Linked DNA regions of Pelodiscus sinensis. The protein of the gene in region 1 interacts with the protein of each later gene in a pairwise test. Links are inferred from orthologs where the notes say so. Each region holds a gene or a part of one and is shown in the gene's direction. Other genes may lie near its edges. The genes, in order: LIN7A, PALS2, MPP2 and PALS1.

What was found.
Region 2: the proteins of LIN7A (region 1) and PALS2 interact in binary tests that used the Homo sapiens proteins (3 or more experiments, as listed by UniProt). The link is inferred for Pelodiscus sinensis from reciprocal best matches to the Homo sapiens genes LIN7A and PALS2.
Region 3: the proteins of LIN7A (region 1) and MPP2 interact in binary tests that used the Homo sapiens proteins (3 or more experiments, as listed by UniProt). The two-hybrid records come from large-scale screens. The link is inferred for Pelodiscus sinensis from reciprocal best matches to the Homo sapiens genes LIN7A and MPP2.
Region 4: the proteins of LIN7A (region 1) and PALS1 interact in binary tests that used the Homo sapiens proteins (3 or more experiments, as listed by UniProt). The two-hybrid records come from large-scale screens. The link is inferred for Pelodiscus sinensis from reciprocal best matches to the Homo sapiens genes LIN7A and PALS1.

Annotation. Positions count from the first base shown.
Region 1 is NC_134711.1:71,565,786-71,573,564, reverse strand, and holds the start of LIN7A (protein lin-7 homolog A), read left to right. Parts: upstream 1-4,772; 5' UTR 4,773-5,487; coding exon 5,488-5,530; intron 5,531-7,779. UniProt on the Homo sapiens protein: Plays a role in establishing and maintaining the asymmetric distribution of channels and receptors at the plasma membrane of polarized cells.
Region 2 is NC_134712.1:198,413,962-198,421,428, reverse strand, and holds the start of PALS2 (protein PALS2), read left to right. Parts: upstream 1-4,467; 5' UTR 4,468-4,669; intron 4,670-7,467.
Region 3 is NW_027466028.1:232,498-240,039, reverse strand, and holds the start of MPP2 (MAGUK p55 subfamily member 2), read left to right. Parts: upstream 1-4,531; 5' UTR 4,532-4,593; coding exon 4,594-4,709; intron 4,710-4,759; exon of another isoform or gene 4,760-4,780; intron 4,781-6,187; coding exon 6,188-6,279; intron 6,280-7,542. UniProt on the Homo sapiens protein: Postsynaptic MAGUK scaffold protein that links CADM1 cell adhesion molecules to core components of the postsynaptic density. In CA1 pyramidal neurons, required for synaptic KCNN2-containing channel function and long-term potentiation expression.
Region 4 is NC_134714.1:72,830,369-72,837,782, reverse strand, and holds the start of PALS1 (protein PALS1), read left to right. Parts: upstream 1-4,411; 5' UTR 4,412-4,564; intron 4,565-4,814; exon of another isoform or gene 4,815-4,933; intron 4,934-6,833; exon of another isoform or gene 6,834-6,905; intron 6,906-7,414. UniProt on the Homo sapiens protein: Plays a role in tight junction biogenesis and in the establishment of cell polarity in epithelial cells.

The DNA of each region.
Region 1 (7,779 bases):
TCATTATGCTGATGCTTGGGAGACGTAGGTTTAAAGCTCGCATCAATCATAGTTTGAATATTTAAAAAGTAGGCAGTATAGCATGTGTGCGCAAAGTGTATTCACTGAGCTCAAAAGTCATAAAATAACTAATTTAACTTAAATACTTTCAAAAGCATCAGTGTCAGCTGCTATAAAACCTATCCAACGTTGACTATAAATTATGCGTTAATGATTTGCCCCCACACATTAATTGAAGTCAACAGTGATGCTCCCAGAGCACAAAAGCTCAGTCCTATTTTCACTGTAGACAATTGGAGTTTAGCATTTTAAAACACCATTTGTTAAATTTGAGCTTGTCTGGAGTTTTTTAAAAAGCAGTTTTTTGAAACTATGTCATATGTTCGAATGGAACTTAAAAGTGACTCCAGGATATAACTAATGCAGCACTAGAAGCAGTTGAGGACTATGTCTCAAGATCCCAATCTAATTGGAATAATATTTAACAGTGGATGACCGTCCCAGTGCAGAATGTTCCACGCGTGCTAGTAACATGTATAATTATTACCAAAAGCACCAATTTGCATCTTTTTTATTTTAGAATCCCCCAAAAGTCCCTCTGGAAGAAAGATGCAATTCTCTGCCCAATAAGCAAACTGCACCATAAACCAAATTTCAAATACTTTACAGAAACAATGTGGAACTGGTCTGATTAAATAAAGAGAAAGAGGGTCCTTTCTCCCACTCTCACTGTATGCCAGAATTCATTCCAAAACAAATGTTTATGACTGAGTTATAAAGAAAAAAGGCACTAGCAGGCCCTGCATAATAGTCCTAGCATCCTATATTTTCATTGAAATACTATGGTGTGTTGTGACCTAAGCCAATGTCAGCAAGAGTATTTAAAGCAAAGGCCGATAATGTGCTTTAAATCCCAAAGGATCCATTTTACAAACTCCACACATCATCTTGCAAACCCCTATGCGTATAGAGTTTCCACTGAAGCGAAGAGTTCCATGCAGAAAGCTAGAATGACCAGGCTCCAATGAAGACACACCAATGCTACAGCTGACCTTGCTGCAAAATTTCCTGAGGAAGTGGAATTCTGTCTCTAGAATTATCAAGTTGTTTTTGAGAGGACTGGAAGCACACACAACATTTTCTTTGCTTTATAAAAAGGAGATGAGGAGATTAAAACTGGTGTTATATTGTGAAGCAATCAATTTCTCCATGGTTGAAATTCCTGGGATGGAACACATGGTAAATATTACAGAATGTGACATGAAATGAAGAGTACAATAGCCAACTGAAACTACAGGAAGAATTTAGATAGGCAGACTATAACAACCCAAAGTGAAGTTTGATGAGAAATAGAACCCTGGATCAAAATCTGAAGATGTCATATAGTGCCTCAGCAACAAGTTCCAAGGAAAAGCCAAGATCTGTGGAAGTCTCCATTCAAGTATTGATCAGGTTTAACCCTGCATGGCGTGGAACATCTGACCTGTTAATCTAATAGTAGTCACAAAAGGGCACTCAAAAGAGGCACAAAGTTGCCCTACGATTTAGCCTGTAGAAAGCACCTCTTTCCGAATGTGATTGCTCTTAAACTTGAGTACTACTTTTTTTTTTCTTTTTTTAGAGCTGGATCTTAGTAACTTATCCATGTGACATGTCTATTAGTCATTTATTAACAGGCCACACAATTTTATATATGTATTTTGTTTTAAAATGTCTGCTTTTAATTTGTCAGTTTAAAAAGAGTCTGAAGAATTCTGAAAACGTACAGGGAAAAAACAACTTGATTGCTTAATTAGCTTGGCAGTGTGATTTTAATATTATTTAAACATACTTCCCATAATAGGCTTTTTAAAAGTGTCATAACAGTTTGAGAGTTGTCACATTAGTCTGTTATAGCTCCAAATGTGTACATTCTTCTCAGTTTAAGGCAATGAATCCCATATATACTAATGTGACTGCTTAAAAGGAGCTGTTTCATTTTATGTCAATCCAGCTGCTATGCAAATACATAAAATCTACATAATAAAAATCTTTATGTTAATTTAGGTTAAGATAATTGACTGCCTGGCAGTAACTGATTTTCAAATTTCAGCATTTTAGCCAATTAAAACATTTTCTTGTCAACACAGCCAAACTGATTTGACTACTATATTTATTACACACGAGGAGTTTTTATTTTTTAACTCATCTTTCTAAGTTAAGTGTATTCTCTTACACTCACCTGATTATAAAACATACAAAATTTGTGGTAAAATATTCAAGTGTGGAAAAATATTCAAATGTTCCTTTATTACTTAAATTTTAATTGAATTCTTTGTTTGAACTCCCAAAATTTCACTTTGCGTCTGTAACATTTTTGTAATGCAATTTCTTTAGTACAGTTTATCTTGTATATTTTAAAGAGAAAATATAGAAACAAAAATCCCACCATGTTTAAGTATACAGGCTCTCTCAGAGATTTGGAGAGTCCCAGGCCACTTCCAGCTTTTGAGGTCCCTAGACAAATTGTGCAAGAAAGCGCTATGACGCACATGAAAAAAATAAGGCACCAAAAAGAGTGAAACATAATTTGATTTTTTTATTTAGCAAATGCTTTTCTGGCCTTTTCACATCTCTTATTTGCTTAAATTTGCAACTTTAAGCTGAGAGACTGTCACATTTTGATCTGATACTTATCAAATGCTAACAATTTTTTACAAGTGTCTAAATTTGAGGTCCCCTTTGAACTTGAGGCCCAGACCAAATGGCCTTCCTGCCTCTCCCTCTTCCCCCCGACTGGCCCTATGAATATGTACTGAACAACAGCAAAATGCGCATAATGCACAGCAGAGCAATCAGTGAGGAAGCAGGCCTTGTCTCATTTCATGCAAACCTTTTTTTACCACTGCATCTTTCAGATGGCAGGCTGCAGCGGTTCATTAGCTCTCTATCTATACACTTTTATTCCTCAGAAGGAAGATAGCTGGACTCCCTTTGGTTTACGTAGTTCAAGTTTTTAAACTGTGGGTCTGGACCCCAAAGTGGGTGGACTGACAACCCTATTTTGATTGAGTTGCCAGGTCTGACATTATACCTGCTGGGGGCTAAAGCCAAAGCACAAGCCTGGGGCTGAAGCCCTTTGTTTCAGTTTTGCACCCAGCCCTGGCTTGGGCTTTGGCCCACTGGCCCAGATGATGGGGATTTGGGTAGGCTTAGGCATTGGCTCCCACTCTTGGGCTATGTCTACACTCGTGGCTTCTTGCGCAAGAACAGCTGTGCTTGCGCAAGAATCTGCAGAGCATCCACACAGCCCACCTGCTCTTGCGCAAGGAAATTTACAGTACAGCATGGTAAGAGAGGGTGTCTTGCGCAAGCACGACTCTCTTTTTTATCAGGTATAAGCCCTCTTGCGCAGGAGCTCTTGCGCAAGAGGGCAGTGTGGATGCTCGGCAGGGATTTCTTGTGCAAGAAACCCTGTGGCTAAAATAGCCATCAGAGCTTTCTTCCGGAAGAGAGAGTCCACACGGCCATGGGCACTCTTGCACAAAAGCACAGCTCGCACAGGGCAGCGTGGACGTGTTCTTGCGCAAGACTTCTGGCACAAGAACCCTTGCGCAAGATGTTCTTGCGCAAGAAACCGCCAGTGTAGACATAACCTTGGGCTATGTCTATACTGATGGGTTCTTGCGCAACAACATCTTGCGCAAGGGTTCTTGTGCAAGAACTCTTGCACAAGAACATGTCCACACTTCCATGTGCTTTTGCACAAGTGTCTATGGCAGTGTGAACACTCTCTTGCACAAGAAAGCTGTGATGGCCATTTTAGCCATAGGGCTTTCTTGCACAAGAAACCCTTGCCCTGTGCCCACAGGGATTATACCTGTTAGAAAAGAGCGTAGCTCTTGCGCAAGAAGCCCTCTCTTACCACGCTTTACTGTAAATCTTCTTGTGCAAGAGCGGGCAGGTAGTGTGGATGCTCTGCAGAAAAATGGCCATTCTTGTGCAAGAACCCACCAGTGTAGACATAGCCTTGGCAGCAGCAGATATAGGGCAGGGTGAGCGGGGTGGCTGCCCCAGACCCCACGCTTCAATAGGTCCCGCGCCCTAGGCCCCACAAAACTTTCATCCACCCCTGAGTCTTGGAGTCATGAAGTAGTTTTTATTGTCAGAAAGGGATTGTGGTGCAATGAAGTCTGAGAACCTCTGGCCTAGGAAGTTATTAAGAGAGCACAATAAAAATATCCATGAGCCTGTTTACAAATCTTTCCAGCTTTCACAAATCACAGTCAGCATCAGATGACCAAAACCACATCTATGACTTTGGGACACTTTCTCTGCCAAATGCCATCTTCTACCTCAAGCCACTGAGGCATGAAAGCTGATTTAAAACAAAACCAGTTGCAGAACTTATTTTGTATTGGATTTTTTTTTCATTTCCAAGAATGGCTGAGCCATTTTCCTTCCAAGATTACAAAACTATATTGTCCAGGACTGACATCTAACCTGGCAAACTTCCATGGAGTAAGTAAAAATGAGAAAATCAACCACTGCATGACTGCACAGTCAGGGTAAGGGCTAGGCTTGTATCTAGAGCACTGGACTGGGACTCAGGAAATCTGGCTTCCTTCCTGTCATTGTGTACCGCCTCCATGCAAGCTTCGGCATGCTACTTAGTCTTTTTGCCTTAGTTCCCCATTTTACAGATAAGGATAGTGCTGGAGCCACACAAGTTAAAGAACACCCAATTAGAAGGGGCTGTTTCCTGCTGCTGGAGAAATCTCCCTCCTTCTCTGGGGCACAAGGGCTACGGTGCCCTCCAATTCATACCCCATTACACTGTCTATCAGCAGCATCCTTTCCCCTTCCCCCCACGCTCAGGGCAACCAGCTGCAGAGTTCTCCTCCCAGCCACTCCTTGCCCTGCCCTCTCTCTGAGCCCACCCCGCCGCTGGCGCCACAGGACGGCAGAAGGGGAGGCTACATTTCGGGTAGCATCTGAAGTCTGCCTCCTCCCCCACTCCCCAGCTCTGCCAGCCGCCATCCGGCGTGTCTTCCCTCCCCGGGGGCTTGAGCCTGGCTCCCACTCCCGCGCCATTGCTACAGCTCCAGCTAGTCGGGGTTTTCCCCCGGGGCTGTGCAATCAGAGTTCCCTAAGGCCAGGGCTGCGGGAGGCCCGATGGGCTCGCCCCTGCCCCGGCGGGAGGGTGGGGAGAGCCGCGGGCAGGGAGCACGGCCCAAGCTGCCGCGCACATCTGGACGCCCTCAGCAAGGCGCTGGGGGGAGCCAGCCAGCGGCTGCACACGCACCTCGGGCCGGGGCGGAGCTCGCCCCGCCTAGCTACATGTGGCTAGCGCCCCGCGCCTCCGGGCAGCCTCCAGCATCCCTGGCCACGCACTAGCCCCCTCCCCGCCCCAGCGCCACCCACCGCCTCAGCGCCCTCCCTGTCTCCTCCTCCTCCTTCCCCCGCACGCCGCCGGAGCAGAGCCTCACTCCGGCTGCAGCCGCAGACATGGCGACGCTCGCAGCGGTGCAGCCGCTCACATTGGACAGAGGTAAGCGAGCTGCCGCCGCGGGGAGCGGCTCGGGCAGGGCTGCCCGGCGCCCGGAGCGAGACCGCCGCTAGGCTGCCGGGAAGAGGCTGGTGTCTCCTGGAGACCCGTCCCCGGCCGGCACAGCCCGCTCCTGGCTGCCGCCGGGCAGCCCCTGCCTGTCGCACACCCTAGCCCGCGGGGAGCCGCCAAAGCTTCGGGAGCCGCTGGCCCGGGTGCTCGGTGTGGAAGCCGCCGCTGGAGTTGCTTTGGTGCCGGCTGCGGGAGAACAGGGCAGCGGGAATGGGGGGCGCTGCCTCCCCTGGCAGTTCAGACTGCAGGTGGCTGTAAGGTGGAAGGGCAGGGAGGGAAGCAAAGAGACCAAACTTTCTTCCAGTGGGAGAAGGGCTTGGGGGGCTGGGGTCGGGCTGGCACCCTGAGGAGGCAGCAGAAGCACGGATCGGTCCAGTACCAGGAGGAAGGGGCTTAGTACATTGCAACTCCAGGGTGGTGCTGCTGGTTAGTGTAGTGTAACACCGAGATCTCTCGGCTGTTACTCTGTGTAGCTCTAGGATCTCGCTTTGCTCTTAAGCATCGGTTCTTCGCTACCTTGTCTCTGCTAACTTGCTCTCCAGTACAGCATTTTGCTGTCCTAGCATCTCTAGCGTGCGTGGCTTCCGAGAATGTCCCTCTACTAGGTTCTCAAGTATAGCGGTGGAGTTGCTGGCATATAGAGACGTTTCTAATAAATAGCTTTGTGGTGGCTTCACTTTTTCATAGCTGAACCACGAAGAAAAGGGCTCCTGCACTAGCAGAAGAAACACTCAGCTGGGTGAAAAAAATCTGATTTTTTTTGCCGCGGGGGGGGGGGGGGGGGGAGGGAGTGAGGGAAATGTGAGCGAACTGAAATTTGCCATATTTGCTACTATTAATACTGCTTTCAGATAGAGTAGCTTGTGAACCTATTCCTGCAGACAGCTAGTTGCTCCTGGTATTGATGACAACACTGATCAGTCTTTTCCACCCACCAGACTGTGACAGCAGCACCTTTTTATCCTTCTTTTTGTATAGACCATTACAAAAGAGATTAAGAGGGGGTACAGAAAGCTTGAAGCTATGCTAAAATTAAACTTCTGCCACAAGGCAGTAAAATTAGACCTCCTACCCAATCTGATCAGGCAACAATAGGAAATGATTTCCAAACTGATGCCATTGAAAGTCCATTTGTAACCCTAGGGGTATTTGGTTATTAGAGAGGGGAAAATAACTTGCTTAGTTATAATTATTTGCATGGCTTTTTCTTCTTTCTGGGTTCTAGTTTAAGAGAGATCAAACATGCTGTCTGGACAGAACTCCCTAAGTGTTAGAACATTTTTCTTTCTAATCCGTATCTTGTGTGTCTGAGCCCCCAAGCAATTTGTAAATCCTTAACTTTGTAGAGAATGATTTAGGCCAGTGCCTTGGTTTTAAAAATACTCTATTTAGAAGATTAAGATGGGGAGCTTCCTGCTGTACATTCAATGAAAAAGAAACCTGATAAACTCAGTATGAGATTTTAATTTAGAGGACACTAACATTATTTTGCTGGAAGCAATTTGAGAGCATAGCAGTTTTTGTGGTGCCGATCACAACTTTACTGTGAGTTAGGTGGATTTTTGAAAAAGATACTCAGACAAAAGACAGAACAAAATGAAGTTATTCCTGAAATAAATTACTGTCATGCAGTAAATTAAGGAGAATACATGTTTCTACAAAGTTCTTAGAAATCTACTGTGTAATGTACAGTTTCATCCCAATATTGTTTGCATTAAGCAGGACAAGTCTATTTCTTGGTAAAGGATTGAACAGATGGTGATCCACTAGCATGCATGGCTGTTCAAAGAGAATTATTAGTATTTCAATATTATGATCCCATTGAATTCCTGTATATTGTTAAAACTATTGGGTTTTTAAAATCTCATTCTCTTCATTAATTTTCGTTCTCTGCATTAATCATTATTAAGATTCCACTTGATATGGGCTGGGGACTTGTGCCTACCACTTTTGTAGAGGTGAAAGTTAAGGGCCAAAATGTCTTCCTGTGGCTGAAGAAAATGAAAATTAAGTGAGGTCATTCATCAATTCTAGTGACTCCTAACAGGACTCACAGTTAATGTCATTGAGATGCAGAATTCATCTCACAAGGTGATTTCATGCAACAAGGCAAAGAAATATATATGAAATATTCATGTCCCAGTGAAGACCACTTTTTCTATGTGGACACAGTTGCCTTG
Region 2 (7,467 bases), on another chromosome or scaffold:
GGGCAGCCCCCAGAGCCTGGTTTTCCCCAGACAGCCTGCAGGAGAAGGGAACTGCAGAGGGGGAGGGGGGACCGCTGGCAGGGAGCACTGCCCCTGCCCCCTAGGAGAAGTTGCTGCTGCAGAAGTGCCACCCTTGCCGCCAAGCGGCCCTAGTAAGCCCCTCCTTCTCAGTCCCCTGTCCTGAGCTCCTTGCCGAGTCCTGCACCTCCCACCTGCCTTGACTTTTGCACCCTTCCCCGAGCCCTCCACTTCCCAACCCTCTGTCCTAAGCCATCCACCCCCTACCCCCCTAACCCTCAAACTCTCACTCTAACCTTCATTTCTGAAAAATATAAACTTTGAAATAAAGCATGTATATTTTTCATTTATTTTTCAAAAAAAAAAAAAATTTCCCTTCAGTTAAAGACCCAAACAATGCCGGGTACATTTGCTAATTATATCCATACTACAGAAATGTAAACAGAAGCACAAAAATTACAGTATTTACACTGGTTGCACAGTGAGTCAGTGAACAGATTGGGAACATATCCAAAGAGTATTCTGATGCTTAGTCCCTAACTTTAACAATTCAACCTCACGACTGGATTATACATAGGGAACATTTTATTGGAGGGCAAGCTGTTTTAAAACAAGATCTCTCCGCTAAATTGGTAGTTATAATAAGTATTGACTGTGATGGAATTACATGGACCAGAACAGAATTTGGCCCAAAGATAGAAGCAAGAGGTGCATTCCTCCTATAAGTGCATATGCCTTTTCTTTTGCCCAAATTCCCAGGGTATTAGGTAAATTATATTATTATAGAAACACCAACAGAAAGTTACCACAGCACTAGCAACCTTATTCTCTTTCATTTTGTTTAAAGGGTACTGAGCATCTGAGCACTGGACACAATAAAGAGATGATTTATTATCCTCAGCCTGGAGGCTTTCCTTGCTGCTCCCAATGGCCAATTGCAGTTAACGGGAGCATCTGGAAGCCACTTTCATGCCCGGATCCCATACTCCCAGCCACACACTGAAGACCCCAACCACCTCCCTTCCTTCCTGGCCAGCTTCACCCTCCAGTCTGCCTCCACACCCAGCAGGGCCACCAGATACTATGGACCCCATGGCAAGGTGGAGTTGGGAAGATGGCTCCATACCCTCAGAAGAGGCAGGGATGAGGTCAGTCAGTCCTTAGCACAGAGGACTGAGTCCACAACTTTTTACAGCTGTAATTTCCAATCTAGCCCAATATTACTTATGCAAGATGGAAGGGTGAGGGGCAAAAGTTTCTTTAAGCCCTGTTTATGCTCCCAATCTTTTTTGCTGAGAAGTGGTGAGAGGACTGTAAGGTCTTTGTGGCACGGATCACATCATTCCATGTGTTTGTACAGCTCCCAGGACAATGATTCACCTCTAATTGGAGGCATTGGTTGCAACTGTAATTCAAATAGTAAATAATTATAGAAAGAATTTTACAGCCTGGCCTCCTAAACTAATACCACATTTACAATGGCAAAATCATTTACTTGTTAATTTGAAAAAGATTTTTAAGGTGCTGGCTTCTACTTCAGTTGCTTTTGCTGGGCTCACTGTTTGGATTGCTTCCTTTGACTCTTCTGGCTGTATAAAAGCCAGATTGTTTGTTATCTACTGATAAAGCACAATGCCAATCTGTTAAATGAAAATCAATATCTAGCCAATTTTTTTCCAAATGAACTCTACCCCATATTGCTCTGACTGTGCAAGCTCATATTCCTCCTTCCACTTATTGCTTCCACTGCAAGAGCCAGCATGTGTGTCCCCCATTGAACCATTATTCAAAGTGATCATGTGTTCATCACTCTATCTGGTTTTCTTAAAGTGGCATAATCAGATTAAGTCCAAAATGTATGTTCAATTTTAAAAATGGTTTTACAGAGTATCAGATTTAAAAAATTGAATAAAACTAGTTTGGGATTTTTTATTTTAGATTTAAATATTTTCTTGCATTGGGACTAATTCTTCCCTTTTATACACCTAACACTCCCACTGGCTGCAATTGGAGTTTTGCTGGCATATGTAACCTAATGATATAAATAGGTTCAGTGTTTGCAGTGGGGCAGCAATGGGTTAGACCATGAGAGCCTAAATGTGAACATTTCTGTGGTACTGACTATAAACAAATGTGCCATTAGTCTATGTCACTGTTCAAACCAACTAAAATGCAAAAAAGTAAACAATGACTAAATGCTGAGGGGAAATGCTGAGGGGAAAATTAGATTTTCAAATGTCGCTTTGCCAGTGCCTCTCACTGGGTAGCTAAACCTAGTGACTGGAATCCACAAAGGACCTGAGGCACTGCAGTGCTGCACACCACAGTGCCTAACTTTTAAGCATTAGAAAAATTGGAGGAATACAGTTTTTCACAAAGTCTGCATTTGGCACCTACACTCTCCTAGGCCAGTGTTTCTCAACCTTTTTTTTTTTAAACACACACACACACACACACACACACACACACACACACACACACACACACAAAGTACCCCCTTTTTAAAAAAAAAAATTAAGTACCCCCACTACCTACAGTTTTCAGACATTTTTTTTCTACCATTGCAACACATTTGTTTAAACAACTTAATTGTAGCCAGACAGGCAATTATATTTTTGGTTGTAAAAGTACAAAAATAATAAAGCACTGTAAAACTTAAAATAAAAATTCAATTCCAAATTTCAGTTGTGTTGACCTATGCCCCAGACTTCTCTCAAGTACCTAAGGTACTCCTAACACTGGTTGAGAAATACTGCCCTATGCAACAATGGGCAAAGATCCAGACCTTAGAAGGGGAGCCAGAAAACCAAACATACTAGACAAAGAGCTGCTCAAACAAGCCAGTGGGAGACAACAACCAGAAAAGAGCAATTTTCTCTGGGTTTATACACTTTCTCATCAACTGTTGGGAGTGGGCCACCACACCCACCTTGACTAATTGGCCCAATTAGCACCTGTGAAGTTAATGGTGAACTCTGACTTCAGAAGAGCCAGGACTTCCACCAAAGTATTTCCCATCCAAGTTGAAACCTCTGGTGACAAAGTTACATCAATAAAATATACTATAATCTAATGAGCTGGACTGGGAGCCAAGTATAGCCATTTGGGTAACTGAAAAGCATCAGCTTATTGGTTACTCATTTAAATGGTTACACTCTTAGGCTATGTCTAGACTGGCATGATCTTCCGCAATGCTTTTAACTGAAAAGTTTTGCCCGAACGGAAGCAGCATAGTATTTCCGCAAGAAGTACTGATTTCTTACATGAAATCATCAGTGTTCTTGCGGAAATTCAAGTGGCCAATGTAGACAGACAGCAAATCATGCCAATGTAGACACAGCCTTACATCCCTAGGTAGTACTAGCCCCCACCTTTCTTTTCATCTGCTAGTATATTTAGGCCTAGCCCCGTCATTTCCACTCCAATGTATCTGACAACGTGGGTCTTTGCCAAGGAAGACTGATGCCCAAATAAATCTGGTGGCTGTGTCTAGACTGGCAAGTTTTTCCGCAAAAGCAGCTGCTTTTGCGGAAAAACTTGCTAGCTGTCTATACTGGCCGCTTGAATTTCCGCAAGAACACTGACAATCTCATGTAAGAAATCAGTGCTTCTTGCGGAAATACTATGATGCTCCTGTTCGGGCAAAAGTCCTTATGTGCAAAAGGGCCAGTGTAGACAGCTCAGATTTGTTTTGCGCAAAAAAGCCCCGATCGCAAAAATGGCAATCAGGACTTTCTTGCGCAAAAGCACGTCTAGATTGGCACAGACACTTTTCCACAAAAAGTGCTTTTGCGGAAAAGCATCTGTGCCAATTTAGATACTCTTTTCTGCAAATGCTTTTAATGGAAAAGTTTTCCGTTAAAAGCATTTGCAGAAAATCATGCCAGTCTAGACGTAGCCATTAGGTTTTAAGGTGCCACCGGGCTCCCGTTTGTTTGAACCTTTGAAGAGCGTCTGTTAAACCCTAAGTCAAGGGACTAGGCGACTAACCACATCTGAGCCCACTCATGGGGCCGAACCAGTCCCTGGTGTAACCCTCATTGATCCCAACGGCTTTACAGGACGTCCCCACCCGCCCAGGGAGGCAGGCAGAACCGAGGACGAATGAGCCACGCCGAGCGGGCTTCACAGCAGGTTTTTGTACGACCTAATGAGGGGCGTGGCTCTGCCGCCACCCCCCGAGCCAAGCCGCCCCCAGCCGGGCCAGACGCCAGCGGCCACTGGGCAGCATCCACCCTCTCCCCTTAAAGGGGCCAGGCCTGCGCACAGGACGCTCGCTTAACCAGCTGCCGGCACCGCAGTGCGAAGCGAGCCGGCTCGCCAAGCGGAGCACGCAGAGGGGGCGGGCGGCCCAGGCACGCGGGCTCCGAAGAGTTAAAGGGGCGGGGCCTGCCTGGCGGGAGGGGGCGCGCTCGCGCTCTCTGGCTAGAGCAGCTCGTTGGGCGCTCGGCAGAAGCGCAACCGCTGCTCCGGGTAGCGCTCGCGCGCCATAGTGGCTGCGGCCGCGCGCGCCGCGAGGGAGGAACGGGGGAGCACGAGAGGCGGCAGGCGCTGCCTCGGCTTTCCGAGGACCCCGGGCAGTCGCGTGTGTCGATGGGGCTGCGCTGCGCTCGCTGAGGAGGAGCCGGAGCGAGGGCGCCGGGGCCAGCCGGTGAGTGCCCCCCCCGTCACGCGGCGGGGTTGGTGCGGGACGCTGGACTGGGCTTCTCCCAGGCGCGGGGGGCAGGGAGGAACTGTTGCTGTTCTGGCTTCTCTGCGGAGACCCTGCGGCCCGCTGCTCGGGAGGCTGTGACGAGTGGGGGCCAGCTGGCCTCGGCGCTGCGAGGAGGCTCCTTTGCCTCCTGGGGGCGGGGGTCGAGCCGCCCCGTGTGTGAGCCGCCCGCACGCAGGCCCGCCCTGAGCCACATACCTGCGGGGGAACATGGTGGCGCTGGAGCCGGGGTTTGCCCCCTCGGTGCGGACTGACCGCTCGCCGCTACCGTGACCCCAGCGATTTCCTGGCCGCTCTGGGTTATCTGCAGCCTCTCGTCTCCTGAAGACTATCCCTTCCCGCTCCGTTCTCCCCGAGCGGGGTTAGTCCCCTCCCGCCCCCCATTGCTGCCTCCTTTCGCCCCCATCTCATCCCCGCGCGGCTCCTCCCAGGGATTATCATCCCACCCTGCGGGATTATTCCCGAGCTGCCCCTGCTCGGCTTCTTCCTTCCTCGAGGAATTATCTCCCCTCCCTGCTGCAATCCGCATTGAGATGGAGGGGGGGGGGGGAGAAGGTGGTTTGATGTTGCAGGAGGGTGGGTTGTAATAGCCACAGGGCTGTCATGCCACTACGTTTTGTATTCTTACTACAGGCTGAGGGAAATCTGGGCGGCGGGGGGGGGAGAGTAGGGGGATACATGGTAAAGGTAGGGCTGCAGCATGTGCGCCAGGAGGAAGATCTAGCTTCACCAAAACCTTAATGCGCTTGGTGCTGCTGGTGTGAGAGAAGCCAGCTGTCTGGCATTATGCTCCATGTATGCGCACACACCTTCTTATTGGGTTATGGAGTCTCCTATTCAGTCCTTTATTGTTGGTTCGCGTCTCTAGAGAAAATACGTAGTCTTCAGTTCATAAAAATACCTATCAAACAGTAACATGAACAAGAAGCAACATCAATGACATTGCTCTTGTGCAGGGTCACATCTGAGCAGAATACTTATTTAAGGCAGTTGATGACTGGTGAAGGGGCTAAACATCTTGCACTGTCCCCAGTGTATGTGTATGGACTGATGCTGCATTAACACCATTGAAACAAGTTTGCTTAATAATGTAGGGATAAGGGTAATCCTTTGTGTGGCTTCCACTTGAGTCTGACTACACATCTCTATGCCCAGTTGCTGCTGTACATGGTAATCTTTGGGTGAGAATTCCAGTTTCCCCTCAGTTGTGCAGTTTAGGGCCCAGGATTACATCTGTTAAACTTCCCTTGACTTTCCTGGGGGGGTGGAATTCGAGAGGGACTGACTGGCTATAAATAGATGTCTGGAGTAGGCTTTGAACAAATTTTGTGTGTGTTAGTTATGAACACAGTGTCAAACTGCTTGGTTGTCAGTGGTGTAATAATGTTTCCTTTTAGTTCCACTGTAGTGGTTGCCTTTTAACACTGTCACCAAGCTCTGTTTAGGAATGCCATAGAGGAACTTGATATTTTTTGGTACCTGGTTTGACTACTCTTTCATATACTTTGAAAATCTTAAAATGCTCTTGAGAAAAGATCAGACTGACAAACACAAATGTTGAAGGCAGAGAGCCATCCTCAGTCTTCATTTCATGCTTGAGGCTGGGTATTGCACCACATAAGCATAGATTTCCTGAGATCATGCATTGCTTAGAGATGTCTGCAGTGTCAAGGCACAATGTCATGAATAAGACTAGAACGTTAGTCTTGGCTTTGGATTTCCATGGCTCTATTTTAACAGGGACTGGCTCCACTCTATTTGAAAATCAAATATTATTCCTTCTCCCAATAGCTTATTGACTGTATTGATCTTTTAACTCCTTTGAATTCAGTGTGCTTTCATAGGTTGCAGATCCTACAGATCACTGCAGTTTCAGTTTCTTAAGAACAATATAACAAAGGTTATTGTTAGACCATAGCAGCTTCTTCAGAACTGTATTTGTTCTGTTGCTATACTTGTGGACTGTGCGTACCAAAAAACTCTGAAATGATTGAAAAGCTGTTGCAGCATATGTGCAGTAGATCTTCTTTAGATGAAAATTACTTTTTTAAATTATTATTTTTTTTGCAAACAGCAGAAGCAATTAATCTTAAATGATGGACTAATCACCTGAAGCTTTTGTTCTGTTGGTGGCATGGGACAATCAATATTCAACTGAGATTACATCCTCATAGTGCGAGGCACTGAACAAACTCAGAGTAAGATTGTTCCTGGCCCAAAGGTCTGGCAACATAAATAGACAAGATAGATGAGGCGCATGAGGATACACAGGGATGCAGAGACATGTCTTAACCAAGGTTACACAACAAAGTGTTAGAGCTGGGTATAGCTTGAGCCCTGCATGGATACAAATTTTGTATGGACATCCATTCTGCAAAAATGAGCTGCGGATATAAAGCAGATCTGTGGATTTACATGGTTATTCGTATAGAACCAGTATGACCAGTTCATTTTGCTCCATCCCATTGCCTCTCTACATAGGCTTGTTCATTTAAAATAATATATGTATTTATCTAATCCTACAAGCAGAGAAGCAAGTTTCTTTGATATTTGAGTGACAATGTTAACTATGTAGCCTTAACATTTTTAATTATTGCAACAGCAGTTGGAGTGTACATGGAGCATGGATTTTTTTCCTTCTATACACACGTACAACATCAAAAGGCTTGTGTCCTATAGATTGAATGAGAGAAATGCAAACAAATGGTTGTGAGTGGCACTAGTGTGTTGTCTGCCAC
Region 3 (7,542 bases), on another chromosome or scaffold:
AGGGCCGGTCATTCCCACGCTGGTGGCACAGCCCGGGCCGCCCCCGCGCAAACCCGGGTGTAAGCGGAGGCCCAGGGGGCTGCCTGCGCCGCGGGTGGGGCCCAGCCAGCCCCTCCCCAGGGGCGTTGCTGCTTTAAGAGCCCCGGAGGCAGCGCGGGGCTTGGCCAGCGAGCGCAGCCGGAACAGCGCGACCCGCCGCGCACCGAGAGCGCAGGGGGCTTGCGCCAAGCGCGGGCAGGTAAGAGCCCCTCCCCCCGCCGGCCGGCCGCCCGCAGCAGTAACGCGCCGCTTGCGCCTCCGTCTGCGCAGCCCCGCAGCTGGATCGACCCCCCCCAGCTGCGGGGAGCCCCTTGGACTGCTCAGTTTGGAACCTGCCGCCTCCCTCCGGCCGCCCGGGCTGCGCCCCTTCCCCGCCCCGGTCCGCTGCCCCGGGCTTCCTTCCCTGCCGGGAGCGGCCGCGTCACGCCCAGGTTTTACACTCAGAACCGCTGCAGCAAAAGGGGCCCGGCCCACGAGCTGCCCAGACCAGAGGAGCCTGGGGGGCCGGGAGCGGACCAGCCCGGAGGGCCCCGGGGCCAGGAACTGCCCAGCCCGGAGGGGCCAGGAACTGCCCAGCCCGGAGGGCCCCGGGGCCGGGAGCGGACCAGCCTGGGGGGCCGGGAACTGCCCAGCCCGAAGGGCCCCGGGGCCGGGAGCGGACCAGCCTGGGGGGCCGGGAACTGCCCAGCCCGGAGGGCCCCGGGGCCAGGAGCGGCCCAGCCCGGAGGGGCCGGGAGCGGCCCAGCCCGAAGGGCCCCGGGGCCAGGAGCGGCCCAGCCCGGAGGGGCCGGGAACTGCCCAGCCCGGAGGGCCTGGGGCTTGGGCCTGGGGCTTAGCCCTGGCAGGAGTTGAGCCCTGTCTCGGGCTTTGGGCTGCAGAATTCCTGCCCCCGAGGGCCTCCTCGCTGTCATTTGTTGGGTTTTTTGGGGGGAGGGGTCTAAATGGCTCCTCTTCCCTCTGTGCCCTTGGCTGGTGCTTCACTTCCGAGCTGATCCCTCCCCAGTTCAGGATGCTCCTTTGGGCTCCCGGGTCTGCGCCTCCGGCATGGCGAAGAGCAACACGTTGTTACGTAAGACTGAACCCAGGCGCTTTCTGAATGGGACGGGGCTGGTCTAATAGGTCTCGTTTGCCCCCCCATGCTGGAGCCGGGGGCTTGGTGGGTCTCACATCATGGTCCAGTCCCGTGGAGCGAAGCGGCAGCTGCCAGGCGCGGGCGCTGGGGATTGGGAATGTGCCAGGAGAGGGCAAGTCCCCGGGCGCGGGCAGATGGGAGGAGGGGCCGTGTTTTTAGGGATGAGCTCATGCGGGTCGCCCTCCCCAAGCATGACACGTTTACACACAGACACTCACTGCCTAGCGCCGCTGCTGAAGAATGGCGGGATTCAGCCCGGCTGCCCATCTGGGCCCGGCTCAATCGGCCGCTTTGTTTCTCTCGCTGTACGTCTGCCCGGCAGAAGGGTTCTGTGTCGCTTTCCACCAACCCAAGCGGGCCCAGAGGAGAGGTTCCCTCGCCCACCTTGGCTCTGGTATCCTGGGACCACTGCTGAGCACCTGCCAGGGAGAACCCTCTGCCCCCTGCACTCTGGTAGGGGCAGAAGGGTGTAGGGGGGGAGGGGGAAGGGATGAAAGAAAAGGGACACGATGAGAGGCGGGTAGCAGAGAGCTGCCAGACCGGACTGTCATTCACCCTGTGCACAGGATCTCGGCATGGCGTGGCAGGGACTTAGTGTCCCGAGAATGGCGGGTTCTCCCCAGACTCTGGTGCCGGATCAGAGAGCACTGAGCTTGGAGACAGGGTCCCTCTGTCGCCACCGGGTGCTGCTTGGATCAGAGTTGGCGGGGGAATGCCTGGGGGTGGGCAGAGGAGACCACCGTGGAGTCAGACTGTCAGTCCTGGTCAAAGGGGACTTGTGAAGGCAGCGGCTGGCCAGTGCGAATTGGTGACCAAGGAGAGAAACAATGCTAGAAACGGAGGACACGTGTCAATGGCAGAGTGGTGCTGGGGGCCCAGGAGTCCTGGCTCCCCTTCCTTGGTTCACCCCTTGGGGCGCACATCTTCCTGGGGCCTGGCAGGGACTCCTGACCTGCGGGCTCACCAGTGGAGCCAGGGAACAGGAGGTGACCTGCTAGAACTAGAACTCCCCCGGCCGTGTTACTGTCTCCTGCTCCATGAGCTGTTGCTAGAGGCCGTGTGTGCTGGGTCTTCCCCCCCACCCTCTGCTCTGCACACGGTGGTGCCACGTCCGCGTCCCCTGCAGGGGCTGGCGCGGGGGCACGCTGCTGTGGCGCGGAGGAGGGGGCTGCTTTGTGTCAAAGCGCTTCCCCCGGGAATGAGGATCCGCTGCAGGTGGGTTCACGCCTCACCTCGAAACTCAGAAGCCGGGCACCCGGCACTCTGCCACATGTCACGCTGGCAGCCGGCTGAGCGCACCAGGGCTCACAACGGAGCTCCAGGATCTGCCCAGCAGGGCTCGTACCAGGATCCTCGCTGCGGGGGACTGAGCGTGGCAGGTGTCCGCCCAGCCACAGCTGGGGGCAGGCGGCACATCCTAGGGCGGTAGGATGGGGCTACATGGGCCCATCCCCACCCCAGGGCTGTCGGCCTCTGGGCTCAACCAGATCCAGGAACCTTCGCAGCTACTCAGGCCTCCTTGCGGGTGGTGTCTGTGCCAGGTCTTGGGCTGGGGCTGTGAGACACCGTTCTGCAATCAAGCAGCCCCGGCAGCCTTCGCTGGGGGCAGGCGAACGTCCTCTGATCAGGCTGTCCTAGCCTTCCTTCCCAGGCCTGGCTTGGAGTGTGCGACACCCGGTCCCAACAGGGTCTGGAGATTCCCTGCTAATCCCTCGGGATTCTCCCGGCTGCGCCCCTCACAGCCAGGGATGGAGCCACATGGGACCCTCCCCCAAGTTCCAACCAAGATAGGGGGGCAGCCGCCTGATGGCTGCTCTGTCTCTAGCAGTGAATGGCTCAAACGGACCCTTCAGCTACATCTCACCTCTCCCCATGGGAGCATCCCCTGTCCTCCGCTCACGCTGCCCTCGGAGTCAGGATCACCCCACAGAGGGCAGCCCGGTTTGCACTGTTAGGGCTGCTGGGCCCAGCAGAGAGGTGGCTGGGTGATCGGACCAGCCTGGTCCAGTGCCGAGTCCAGATTGGCACGGGCACAGCGCCACCAGCTCAGCATGGCCTTCTGCCTGACACCGGCTTCTGCCCCATTCACTCCACTGAGTTCCTTGGGGGAGACCCATGCGCTTCCAGGGAACATTCCCAAGGCACCTGCCCAGAGCTCAGGTGTCTGGATTTGGGAATGGGCCGGTGAGGTTAACTCCTGCCGCACGGAGCAGGGAAAGGCAAGTTCCCCCCACCCCATGTGACTCATTGTTGCTTGGCCCCAAAGGAATGAAACCGATGCTCCGGCAGCTGCTAAGCTGAGACCAGGCGTGTTCATTTCACGTGCAGCCCATTAGATTCCCAAGAGTGGGGGCAGGCTGGCTGGAGGGGTGTAGGGCCTGACAGCCGGACCCCAGCAGAGAGGCTGGCTGGGGACATGCAAGCAGCCTGCTTCCCTTGGGAACGTGGCGCCCATGTGGCTTTGGGGAGGGGTTACGTCAGCCCTGGGGCCTTTCGAAGCCAGGGGCTGGGGGGGGAAGCTGATCTGGGGGCCTGTCGCTGCATCAGGTCAGAAATGGATGCTGGGTCTCTGCTCTGAGGAGTTCACAGACCATCAGTGCAGGGGCCTGCTGCGCCTGGAGGCCTGCCCCCAGCACACAGGGGCGCCAAGGCCGGGCAAACCAGCCTTTTCAGAACCCCCCGCAGCAGCAGGGGCGGGTTGGGTGGGCCTGCTTTGCCCCTGGGTGGAAGGGAAGCGGGTTGGCCGGTTCACACTTGGCTCCGGCTATTTTGGGCCACCTACGGGCCTCTCAAGAGGGGCCTCTTGGCAGGGGCAGAGCTGGGGATGCCCTGCAGCATCTCATAGCGCTATAGACGCTCGGGATACCGGTTAAATGGTTAACTCGTGAGCCGGTAACCACGTGTCTTACCAGCATCCTTAGGGGGGTAACTGGTTAACTGGTGGGCCTGGCCCATGGGAGCAGCCTCTGCCCATAGCGGCCTGGCTGGCAGGACGCTGGCAGCAGTGGGGCTGGAGTAGCCTCCAGCCTGTGGGGTCAGAGCAGCCCCTGCTGCAGCCGTCCCAGACCCGGATCCAATAAGACCCCCACCCCAGTTGCCCTGACCCCGCCAGTTATCGTTTAACTGGTTGTCGAACCGGTTAGCTGTTTAGATCAAAATGTACATCCCTGATAGGTCCTGGGCTGGTGGAAGGGCCCACTGGCCGCCTCGCTGCCTCCCATCCGGATCTGCCTCCCCTCTGCTCCCCCACCAGCTCAGATCCCTGACAGCTGCTGTGGGCTGGGGGGAGAGGCGGGGGCTCCCACTGCTTCCTTATTGTTCTCCCGCTCCAGTGTTGCCATGGCAACCAGGGAATTAGCATCCCCTTCCTACTGGCAGCTTGTCGGAGGCCCAGTTTCCTCTGAGCAGTGAGGCCTGAGAGGATGCAGGCCTGGGATGGCTCCTGGCTCCGGGGCCCGGCAGCTACTGGGTGCCAACTGTCCCTTCTGCAGCTGCTGGCGTGGGGCCCGGGTTCGGGGAGAGGCGAGAGCATCACAGGGTCTGTGTCCGGCCGCCTGGCGGGACATGGGCGATGGGCCCCAGCTCTTCGCTGCCATGAGGGGGCGCTGGGTAGGCGAGGCCTCATCTAGGGCTGCCTGCGCCAGGGTCCTGAGCCAACTGGATTCTTTGGTGCCCTCTTGAGTTCTCCAGTCCCAGGAGGCCGGCACGGCTGTGGGCCTTTCAGGGCATGTGCTCCCTCCAGCACTGCAGGGGTTAATGCCATTCCAGTAGTAATTCCACTCCCCCCCCCCCCCCCCCCCCGCAGGATTATAGGGAAACAACTACAGATAAAGTTCCTGTCCTCTCCCAGCAGGGAGCACTGTGGGGGGGGGATGATGCTGGAGAGCTGGCTGTGGGTGCAGGGTGCTCCCAAGCACTGTAGTCCTAGGCTCTCCCAGCAGGGGGTGCTGTGTGTGTGCTGTGTGTGGGGGGGGGCATGGTGCCGGGGAGCTGGCTGTGTGTGCAAGGTGCTCCCAAGCACTCCAGTCCCAGGCTCTCTCAGTAGGGGGTGCTGTGTGTGTGGGGGGGGGCATGGTGCTGGGGAGCTGGCTGTGGGTGCAAGGTGCTCCCAAGCACTGCAGTCCCAGGCTCTCCCAGTAGGGGGTGCTGTGTGTGTGGGGGGGGGCATGGTGCTGGGGAGCTGGCTGTGGGTGCAGGGTGCTCCCAAGCACTGTAGTCCCAGGCTCTCCCAGTAGGGGGTGCTGTGTGTGTGGGGGGGGGTATGGTGTTGGAGAGCTGGCTGTGGGTGCAGGGTGCTCCCAAGCACTCCAGTCCCAGGCTCTCCCAGTAGGGGGTGCTGTGTGTGGGGGGGGGGCATGGTGCTGGGGAGCTGGCTGTGGGTGCAAGGTGCTCCCAAGCACTCCAGTCCCAGGCTCTCCCAGTAGGGGGCGCTGTGTGGGTGGGGGGGGCATGGTGCTGGGGAGCTGGCTGTGGGTGCAGGGTGCTCCCAAGCACTGCAGTCCCAGGCGCTCCCAGCAGGGGGCGCTGTAGAGGACGGCGTAGGCGTGAGGGGGCGGGTGTGGTGGTGGGAGCGCCCCGCTGCTCCTGCTCCAGACTCACGCTGCAAACATCCCTCCCTCCTGAGCACAAAGCCCAGTTCCATCAGCCTCTCCCGGCCTCCTGCGCATGGAGATGATGCGCCGAGGTCCCCAGGGGGAAGGGCTGAGTGTGGCTCTGAACATGGGCAGCTGGTCCCTACGGGCCATCTCTTTCTCTCTCCCTCCCTCTCCTCCGGCGGTAGGATGGCGTTCCTCCCTGGGCCCTGATGGGCCAGGAATCCGGCCAGGACCTGCATGCCCCCAGCAGGGGCACAGTCAGAGTTAGACTGCCTGCACCCTGGGCTACAGGCTCCCTGACTTTATGGGGAAGAGTCCCTTGCTAAAATTTTTCCTTGGTGTCCTGTGTCCCCCCTGGCCAGCTCTGCGCCCTCCCCTGCCCCTCTGAGTGTCTGACTTTCAGCCTTTCCTCTCTTTGCAGATCCCTGTGTGTGTGTGCTGGTTCAGAGGAGCCCTCACCAGCTGACTCCCCAGCTGCCAAGATGCCTGTGGCTGCCACCAGCTCCGACTTGGGTAAGAAATGCCCCGTCCGGGCTGGAATTGGGAAATGTCACCCATCCTCTGCATGGCTTTGGGGGCACAAGGCACCCTCAGTCTGTGCCCATGCCTCTTGGGTAGCTGCCCACTGGAGACTGTCCAGGCTGCCAAGTTTGCACTCAGAGGAGCTCTTGGATGTGAGAATCAGCTGGTTTGACCAATCCCGTCCCTATGGCCTAAATCAATGGAGATTGCCTGTCTCCTAGAGCTGGAAGGGACCTTGAAGGGTCATGGAGTCCAGTTCCCTGCCTTCACAGCAGGACCAAGTACCATCCCTGACAAACTTTTGCCCCAAGTGGCCTCTGCAAGGATTGAACTCACAATCCTGGGTTTAGCAGGCTACTGAGCTACCCCTCCTCCTAGAACTGCGGTGTCCATCCAGTTTTGAAGCAAGTGGCAACTGCTATAGCGAACTAGCCACACTCAACTGGCCAAATAGCCACATGTGGCTAGTGGCTGGCGTGCTGGACACCACGGTGCTAGAAGGAGGCAGAGCTGTGAGATTGCCCCGTAACAGAGCACCAGTTCCCTTGGTCTTTCACCGCCTTGTCCCTTGGATTGGCTGGCTGGCTTGGCGGGCGCATGGCTAATGAGCGGGGAGATGGGAAAGGACCCCCGGAGCTTTGTAAGCCCGTTGGATGGGGCTGGCCTTGCGCCTGAGAGCTCGTTTGCTCCTTGCCCCGGAGGAGTAGCTGGTGGGGAACGGAGGGGACAAGAGCCCAAGTACGAGGAGGGCTCAGTGGTTAGCGCTCTGACCTGAGAGACGGGAGCCTTGTGTCTCTGCTACAGACTCTGCGTGGCCTTGGGCTAGTCACGTAGGGCCAGATTTGTAAAGGACTGTCGGTGCCTAACAGCGACTGGCGAACCTTTCAGAGTCCTGGCCAGCTCTGTCTCCGCTCCCCTTGTGGAAGGGGCTAGGAGGATAATCCCCCAGGGATGCTGAGGCAGTGAGAGGCCGCGGGAAACTAACGACCTGACTTCCGCACTGGGAGCGGTGGGGTTGGGCCATTCAGACGGGGGCGCCCTGGCTTGGAGTGTGGGCAGGGTGCCCGGCCGTGCTGAATGCTCCCCCATGAGGTGACGTGGATGGGCTGGAGGGCTGGGTCAGGAACGCGTCCGCGGTAGGGGGTGAGGGGCCCTGAGCCCCGCTGCCTCCCCTTAAAGGGGTAGGGGGATGCGGCTGGCAGGAGCTGGCAGGTTTTGGCTGAGAGATGGAGGCTGGATCTGTAGGGGCCCTGG
Region 4 (7,414 bases), on another chromosome or scaffold:
AAACAAACAGGTCTTCCACTAGATATCTGGAGACTTACATATCTCAGAATTAACATGGTCTGCTAATCCATACAGGCAGAGAATCAAAACACTTATAAGGCTACGTCTACACTGGCCCCTTTTCCGGAAGGGGCATGTAAATTTCATGAGTCGTAGTAGGGAAATGCGCGGGGGATTTAAATATCCCCCGCGGCATTTAAATAAAAATGTCCGTCGCTTTTTTCCGGCTTTTAAAAAAGCCGGAAAAGAGCGTCTACACTGGCCCCGATCCTCTGGAAAAAGTGCCCTTTTCCGGAGGATCTTATTCCTACTTCAACGTAGGAATAAGAGCCTCTGGAAAAGGGCACTTTTTCCGGAGGATCGGGGCCAGTGTAGACACTCTTTTCCGGCTTTTTTAAAAGCCGGAAAAAAGCGACGGACATTTTTATTTAAATGCCGCGGGGGATATTTAAATCCCCCGCGCATTTCCCTACTACCACTCATGAAATTTACATGCCCCTTCCGGAAAAGGGGCCAGTGTAGACGTAGCCTTAGATATAATTATAGGAAGAGAAAAGACAAAAACAAAGTTGGAGGCTGGTGTACACATTTGACTGCTTAGTGAAAAGCTGTGTACTATACACTCACTGAACCTGCTCTTGGACAGCATCAAGAAGAAGATGCCTGCCATCTAGAAGAACTACACAGACAGAAGGCTGAACTTCTGCATATTTGTGGGCTCATAGGACCTCCCTGTGTAAATCTTGGATACAAAAGACAGTGATCAAGCTGGATGACTCTGATTTAAGGGAGGATGGAGTCTCTGCATCCAGTAAGCAGTGTTTTATTGCTAAACGTAGACAGTTAGCCATTGTGCAACTTTCATGCAAGCATCTGGGTTTAAGAAAGTAATTTGTGGATTCTTACAATAGCTGCCAGTAGTGCTTGTAAAAATGTGGATCTAGATCATAAAAGGCCAGCAGAAACGTCCACCTCTTTTCCTACTCTGCCATAACTGGTCACCCTCAGTCTGCTACTCCCCCTGTCTGTAAAGAATGCAGAGTAGTTCTGCAGTCAGCCTGAATTTGGATTCCATTATTCTCCAAATGCCTTCCCTTTCCCCTTCATTTGATACTCGCACTCCTGCTACTAATCAAAGTGAAAATGCTTGGTTTGGTGTGCAGCTATAACATATGGCAGAACAAAAAATGGAACACAAACTGGTAGAGCATAGCCTTAAAGGCACTCAAAATCTACAATGTAAAAAGGCTAGAAACTAGAGCTTATTAATCCTTCTGTGGAAAGGTGCACACGCTGTTTGGCAGGGTCCATATTAATGGAGGATTAGCTGGCCAGTTTATATGCCAAGAAACGAAAAAGAGGTTTGAATCTGAAGACACACTGGAGTATATAGGTTTCAGAAAAAAAACATACATGGAAAATATGGACAGAATGTGTAAGTATAGGCAAGAGACTAAAAAGTGGCTGGACATCTATATGAAAAATTACACAAAGCATTCAGTGAACATGCAGCAAAGGAGAAAAGATTTAAAGGGGCAGGTGTCTGCTGATTTTTTTTTTTTTTGGTGGTCCAAGAAACATTTGCTGACATTACTGTGTCCTGAGCCACCCTCTACCTTGGTACCTCCTATCTAATCACTATCCTAACTCTCAAGATATGAAGATTATAAGATAATGTGCCCCTTCTGTCCCAAATCTTATTTAGACACTCATCTCTTTATTGAGAGTGGAAAAGGGAAACAGTCCAATACATTAGTTAATAGAGGAAAAATGAGGAGTGTTAAATTAGCAAAGAGTAAAGGGCTACGTCTAGACTGGCATGATTTTCCGCAAATGCTTTTAACGGAAAAGTTTTCAGTTAAAAGCCTTTTCGGAAAAGCGCGTTTAGATTGGCAGGATGCTTTTCCGCAAAAGCACTTTTTGGCCACGGATGCTTTTCTGCAATCTAGATGCACTTTTGCGCAAAAAAGCCCCGATCGCCATTTTCGCGATCGGGACTTTTTTGCAGAAAACAAATCTCTGCTGTCTACACTGGCCCTTTTGCGCAAAAGTTTTTCAGAAAAAGACTTTTGCGCGAACGGGAGCAGCATAGTATTTCCGCAAAAACACTGACAATCTTACATGAGATCGTCAGTGCTTTTGCGGAAGTTCAAGTGGCCAGTGTAGACAGCTGGCAAGTTTTTCCGGAAAAGTGGCCAGTCTAGACACAGCCAAGCTGTTTAGTTTTGCCAGTATAACTGTGTCTATACTAAGTACTCTTGCCAGCACAGGCATGCCCATCACAAATCACAGCTCATCAGAGATTGTAGTGTAGAGCTAGCTTACACTTTCTTACATAAAACTGGGATGGGGGATAGGAGAAGAATGTGTTGGTTTTGCTTTTACTTGAAAGCTAGTAGTTTTTGTTAAGTTTAGAAATTGAATAAGGAAAAGTTATTTACTTGCTCCAATAACATAAGAACTAGGGGTCACCGAATGAAATTAATAGGTAACAAGTTTAAACAAACAAAGGAAGTATTTCTTGATGCAGCATACAACCTGTGGAAATCCTTGCCAGAGGATGTTGAGAAGGACTTTAGCACAGTTCAAATAAGAATTAGATAAATTCATGGAGGATACGTCTATTAATACTTATTAGCCAGGATGGGTAGGAATGATGTCTAACACTGTTGGTCAGAGGCTGGAAATGGGTAACAGGAGATCGATCACTTGAAGAGTCCCTGTTCTGTTCAGTCCCAATTTGTACCTGATATTGGCCACTGTTGGAAGACAGAACACTGGGCTAGATGGATCTTTAGTCTGACCCTGTATGGCTGTTCTTAATACATGTTAAACTGAACACATGGGCTGTGTCTAGACTGGCCAGTTTTTCCGGAAAATCAGCTGCTTTTCCGGAAAAACTTGCCAGCTGTCTACACTGGCCGCTTGAATTTCCGCAAAAGCACTGACAGCTCAGCTTTGTTTTCCGCAAAAAAGCCCCGATCGCAAAAATGGCGATCAGGGCTTTTTTGCGCAAAAGTGCGTCTAGATTGGCACGGATGCTTTTCCGCAAAAAAAGCACTTTTTGCGGAAAAGTGTCCGTGCCAATCTAGATGCTCTTTTCCACAAATGCTTTTAACGGAAAACTTTTCCGTTAAAAGCGTTTGCGGAAAATTATGCCAGTCTAGACGTAGCCATGGATTTAACCCTGTGGACTGATTTGACTATGTGGCTCAGTTGCTGCCTGGATCCCTTTTATGATATCTACAAAGAACAGTCCCTGCAGGGAACATGGTCTTCTGACTGAAAATACATTGATCGTGATATATCTTCCCTTTTTTTTCAAATATTTTAATATAAATATTAAAACAAATAATTGAAGCCCAAGCACTCACCCAGTGTCCTTTTGGCCTGGGATTGCTGCACATAGCCAAACTGCAGTCTTGTCTTCACTTGTTAAGTAGTCTCTTAGATAATCTAGTCTCAATAGGTTACCATAGCATAAGTGACCCATCTCTATCTCTTTGTCACTTGTTTCTGGCTGTAGCAAACTGTCTCTCAGTCCATTCTTCTTCCTCTCTATGAGGTTGGCCACTGGATGGTTCTCTCTGATCCACAGGGATCTGAGTGTTGCCTCTACTGGCTCATGACTGTCTCCTGCACTTGTCCCTCTTGCATAACCTGGGTGCCATTGCATCTCTTCCAACTTCACTAGTCCCTTCCTTCTGGGGTTTCTCTATTAGCTGGATTCTAACGGTAGTGCCTGTCTGCAAAACTGGTACGTCCTCACTGGCCTATAATCTGGTGCCTCCTTTCTCTGACTAATGGTCATCTCCTCTTGAGAGTATCCCCTTCCTTCTGGCTGCCAAAGTGCTCGACTAACTGGTGTCGGAACTTTTATTTATTTATTTATTTATTTATTGGTCTTTGTCCCGTCAGGGCTTGGGCTGGGCTGGTTGGCGACCACGCTGGGGTATAACTGTGGGTGTTAGCTAACCAGCGGCTCCGGTCCCACAGACAGCCTTGCGCAGGAGTCTCTCACAATCATCCGTGAGTCGTAGCTTGTGGCTACTCTGCCCTTCTCACCAGCTCCACTGAACACGACGCAGGCGGCAGCAGAGGCATGACGCAGGGGCACGAAACCCTGCAGCAGGCGCGAGGGACAAAGCAAAGGACAATTCAACCGGCGGCCCGTTGCTGAAGGAGCTGTAGGCCGAAGAGCTACGCACCCCTCCCCGCCCCCGAGCCCCTCCGCAGCGAGCACCAGTCCCTCAGCCGCCTGGGCAGCAAGCGGGCGCGCGCACCCCAAGCGCTCAGCCCCTCCAGCCAATAGAGACGTGCGTCTGCAGAAGGCGGGCGGGGCGCGTGCGTGCGGCCGGCCGTTGGGGTGGGGCCACGGCTGGGGGGGTGGATCGGGCGCTGCCGTGAGGTGTTTGTCTCCTGGTATGTGGCTGGGGCGGCTGCGCAGCTCCGCGGGGTGAGCGAGACGGGGCTGTCTCCGGTGTCTCCGGGCTGGGCGCGAGGGGTGTAGAACAAGGCGCTGCTGGGCGCGTCCGTGCGGAGCGGCGGCAGCAGGAGTAGGCAGGTGAGTCCGCCCCCCACTTTGTGATCGACTCCCCCTGGGGGGGGTGGTAGGGGCGTTGGGTTCCGGGGGGAGCTCTGGTCCCAGCCCCCGCTGCTGCTGCTGCGCCTCGGGATTTCCCAGGACGGGAGGCGGGCGCGGGGCGGATTTTGCTCCCCCCCTTCCTCGTGAACTTTGGTAGGGTCCCAGCGGAGCTGCGGAGTGACCCGTGTCTGTGCAGTCGGGGGGGGGGGGGGGTGCGTGTATCTGGGGGGGCCTTGCCGTTTGCGTATCCGCCACCTTCCCTGTACGCACTAGGGGCCCGATCGTGCAGCGTTTGCCAACATAAGGCTTGCTCGCCGGTGCAACCATTGCAAGTTTCAGCCTTTAAAGGTGCGTTAATAAGGCTCCCCGTGTTGAGTGTTGTCTTTTACTTTCTGAATGTATTTATTTTAATAATGGTCTGTACGTACTTCATCATCTGTTGGGCAAGCCAGCGTTTGGAAATCTTACTGTGAAGAGATTGCTCGGTAGAGATTTATGGGGCTTTGCAGGATTAAATTAAAGTGGCTTGGCAACCAACACATTCAAGGTTGCCCAGTAGGCATTGATCAAACTATTGACTAAATATCAGTGAATTACACTGATGAGACTGTTACGGTAACGTTTCGGATCTCGCTAATCGACGGATCAGAGTAGGAAGTGTACACCTAAGCAACAAGGAAGACAGTTCCTGTCCCAGAGATATTACTTTAGAAAGAGTGGCAAAATACAGCTTGCTGATTTTATTAGAAAGCTGACAGCAAGTAGAAACTCTACCCAAATCAGTCACTTACAAGGTATCCTCACTGTTTTGAATATACAGATGGTTTTTTTGTTTGTTTGTTTACAAAATTACTAAAGCTACATAGCTGAAAGAGATGGGAGTGAAGGATGAAACTGTTCATTTTTGCTTCCTGTTTGTGTGGGTTTCCAGTCAACAAGAGTAATATTTTTTTAAAGGTAGGAAAATCTGGTTATAAAAACAAATGACAGGGATGTGAGAGAAATTGTAATATCCAATTTAATTTTAAAATGAGCCATCAAAATGTAAGTTTCAAAATGTGAGTTACAATAGTTTTGAATTCTGTGATGGAAGCAAATGTTGGATTTCATACCTAATGGTGCCTTTGAAGCAGGGAGACTACTATTGTTTAAAAGCACTAGTTAATGAGCAATTTTATTGTATCTCTAAATATATTTTCTAATTGTTAAACCAGAACCCACTGACAATGTTTTGTTCATGCTTATGTGAATTTTTCAAGTTGTTGCAGAGGCTTAGAACTAAACTAAAATTGCAAGTAAATCCTTAAGTTCTATTAAATGCACAATGAATACTATATAGTTTTTAAATCAAGTGCATTTTTATGATAAATTTAAAAATCAGTTTGTTGAAGGGTCACCAAAGATAACCAAAATCTTTGAGGAAATACTTTGTTAAATGCTCTCAACATTTTTTTATATATTTTTTTTATTTGACCTCTGAAGTAAAAGCATGTGTCCCTTTTTATTGCATTATGTAATGTTCTAGGCAATCTTTTGTTTGGAGCCTAGTAAAGCAATTCTGGAATGATAAGAGTCAGAGTGGTAGTCAAAGATCTTGAATCTGAATGCATTGCAACTGCCTGTTCTTACTGATTTTGATTTTAGGGTATGCCTATTCCACAATGGCACAGCTATGGTGCTGCAGCTTTCCTGTTGTTGAACCATGGTCTGTCGATTGTAGATAGGTTAACAAAAAAATTCTTTTGTTAACCTAGTGGTGTCTACACTGGTGATTATGTCTACTTCTTACATTGAACAGGGCTCAAGTTTTTCATAGCCCTGAGCAGTGTAGCTAGGGCAATTTTTTTGCCTTTGTTACACATTGGAGCTCCTTTGTGAATTTGTCCTGAACTCTGATAAGCAGGTGTGTCTCATACATAGCTGATACAATTGAAAAATCTTTGAATACAAGTGAAATATCTTCCTGAGACACTGTTCTTGTTGGCTGGCTTCTTGAAAAGCATTACATAGTGACTTGGACATGGCAGTCTCCTTCCATTAGGAATGAAAATGCAAAACTGCAATCCTTCATAATTCATTTTTGTACAGTTCTAGTATTTAATGTGTTTCTGGCGATGGTGCTATTTCATCTTGGTTACTCCTGCTTTGGGAACATCAACCAAGGTTTTCAAAAGTGACTAGTAATTTTTCAGTGCCTCAATTGTAGTGTATGCAACTTCAGACACTTTAAAGGTCTGCTTTTTTTCAGAGGGTGGATGTACCACGCTTTCTTAAAATCGGACCTCTTTAAGGGGCATCATGTGGCACACCTGAAATCATGGTGGGTAAATATAAATGGTTTTAAAAATATTTTGATTAAATAATTTAAAAAATGGATTTTTATATTTTTTTACTTTGTTTTCAAATGGAATATTAATTCAATGCAAAATACACCAAGGCTTAAATTATTTCTTAAAACATTTAAATAAAAATGTGTTAAATCCATGAACTGCTGTCAAACTTAGAGATGAAAGCTGTTTTTTCTCTATAAAGAAAGGTGTTTCCCATTATTTAAACTTTTGAGGTCAAGCTTAATAAATATGGCACAGTAGCTCAGCCAAAATAATTTCGGAGATTGTTTCATTGTCAAGAATATTAGGCAATGGGAATATAAATGCTAGTAACTTTCACTTAGGCATACTTAAAAATTTTCCTCGGCTTATATGAAACAATCAGTTTGTTTAGTTTAGAAAAGAGAAGATTGAGGGGGGACATGATAGCAGTTTTCAGATATCTAAAAGGGTGTCATAAGGAGGAGGGAGAAATCTTGGCCTCTGAGGATAGAACAAG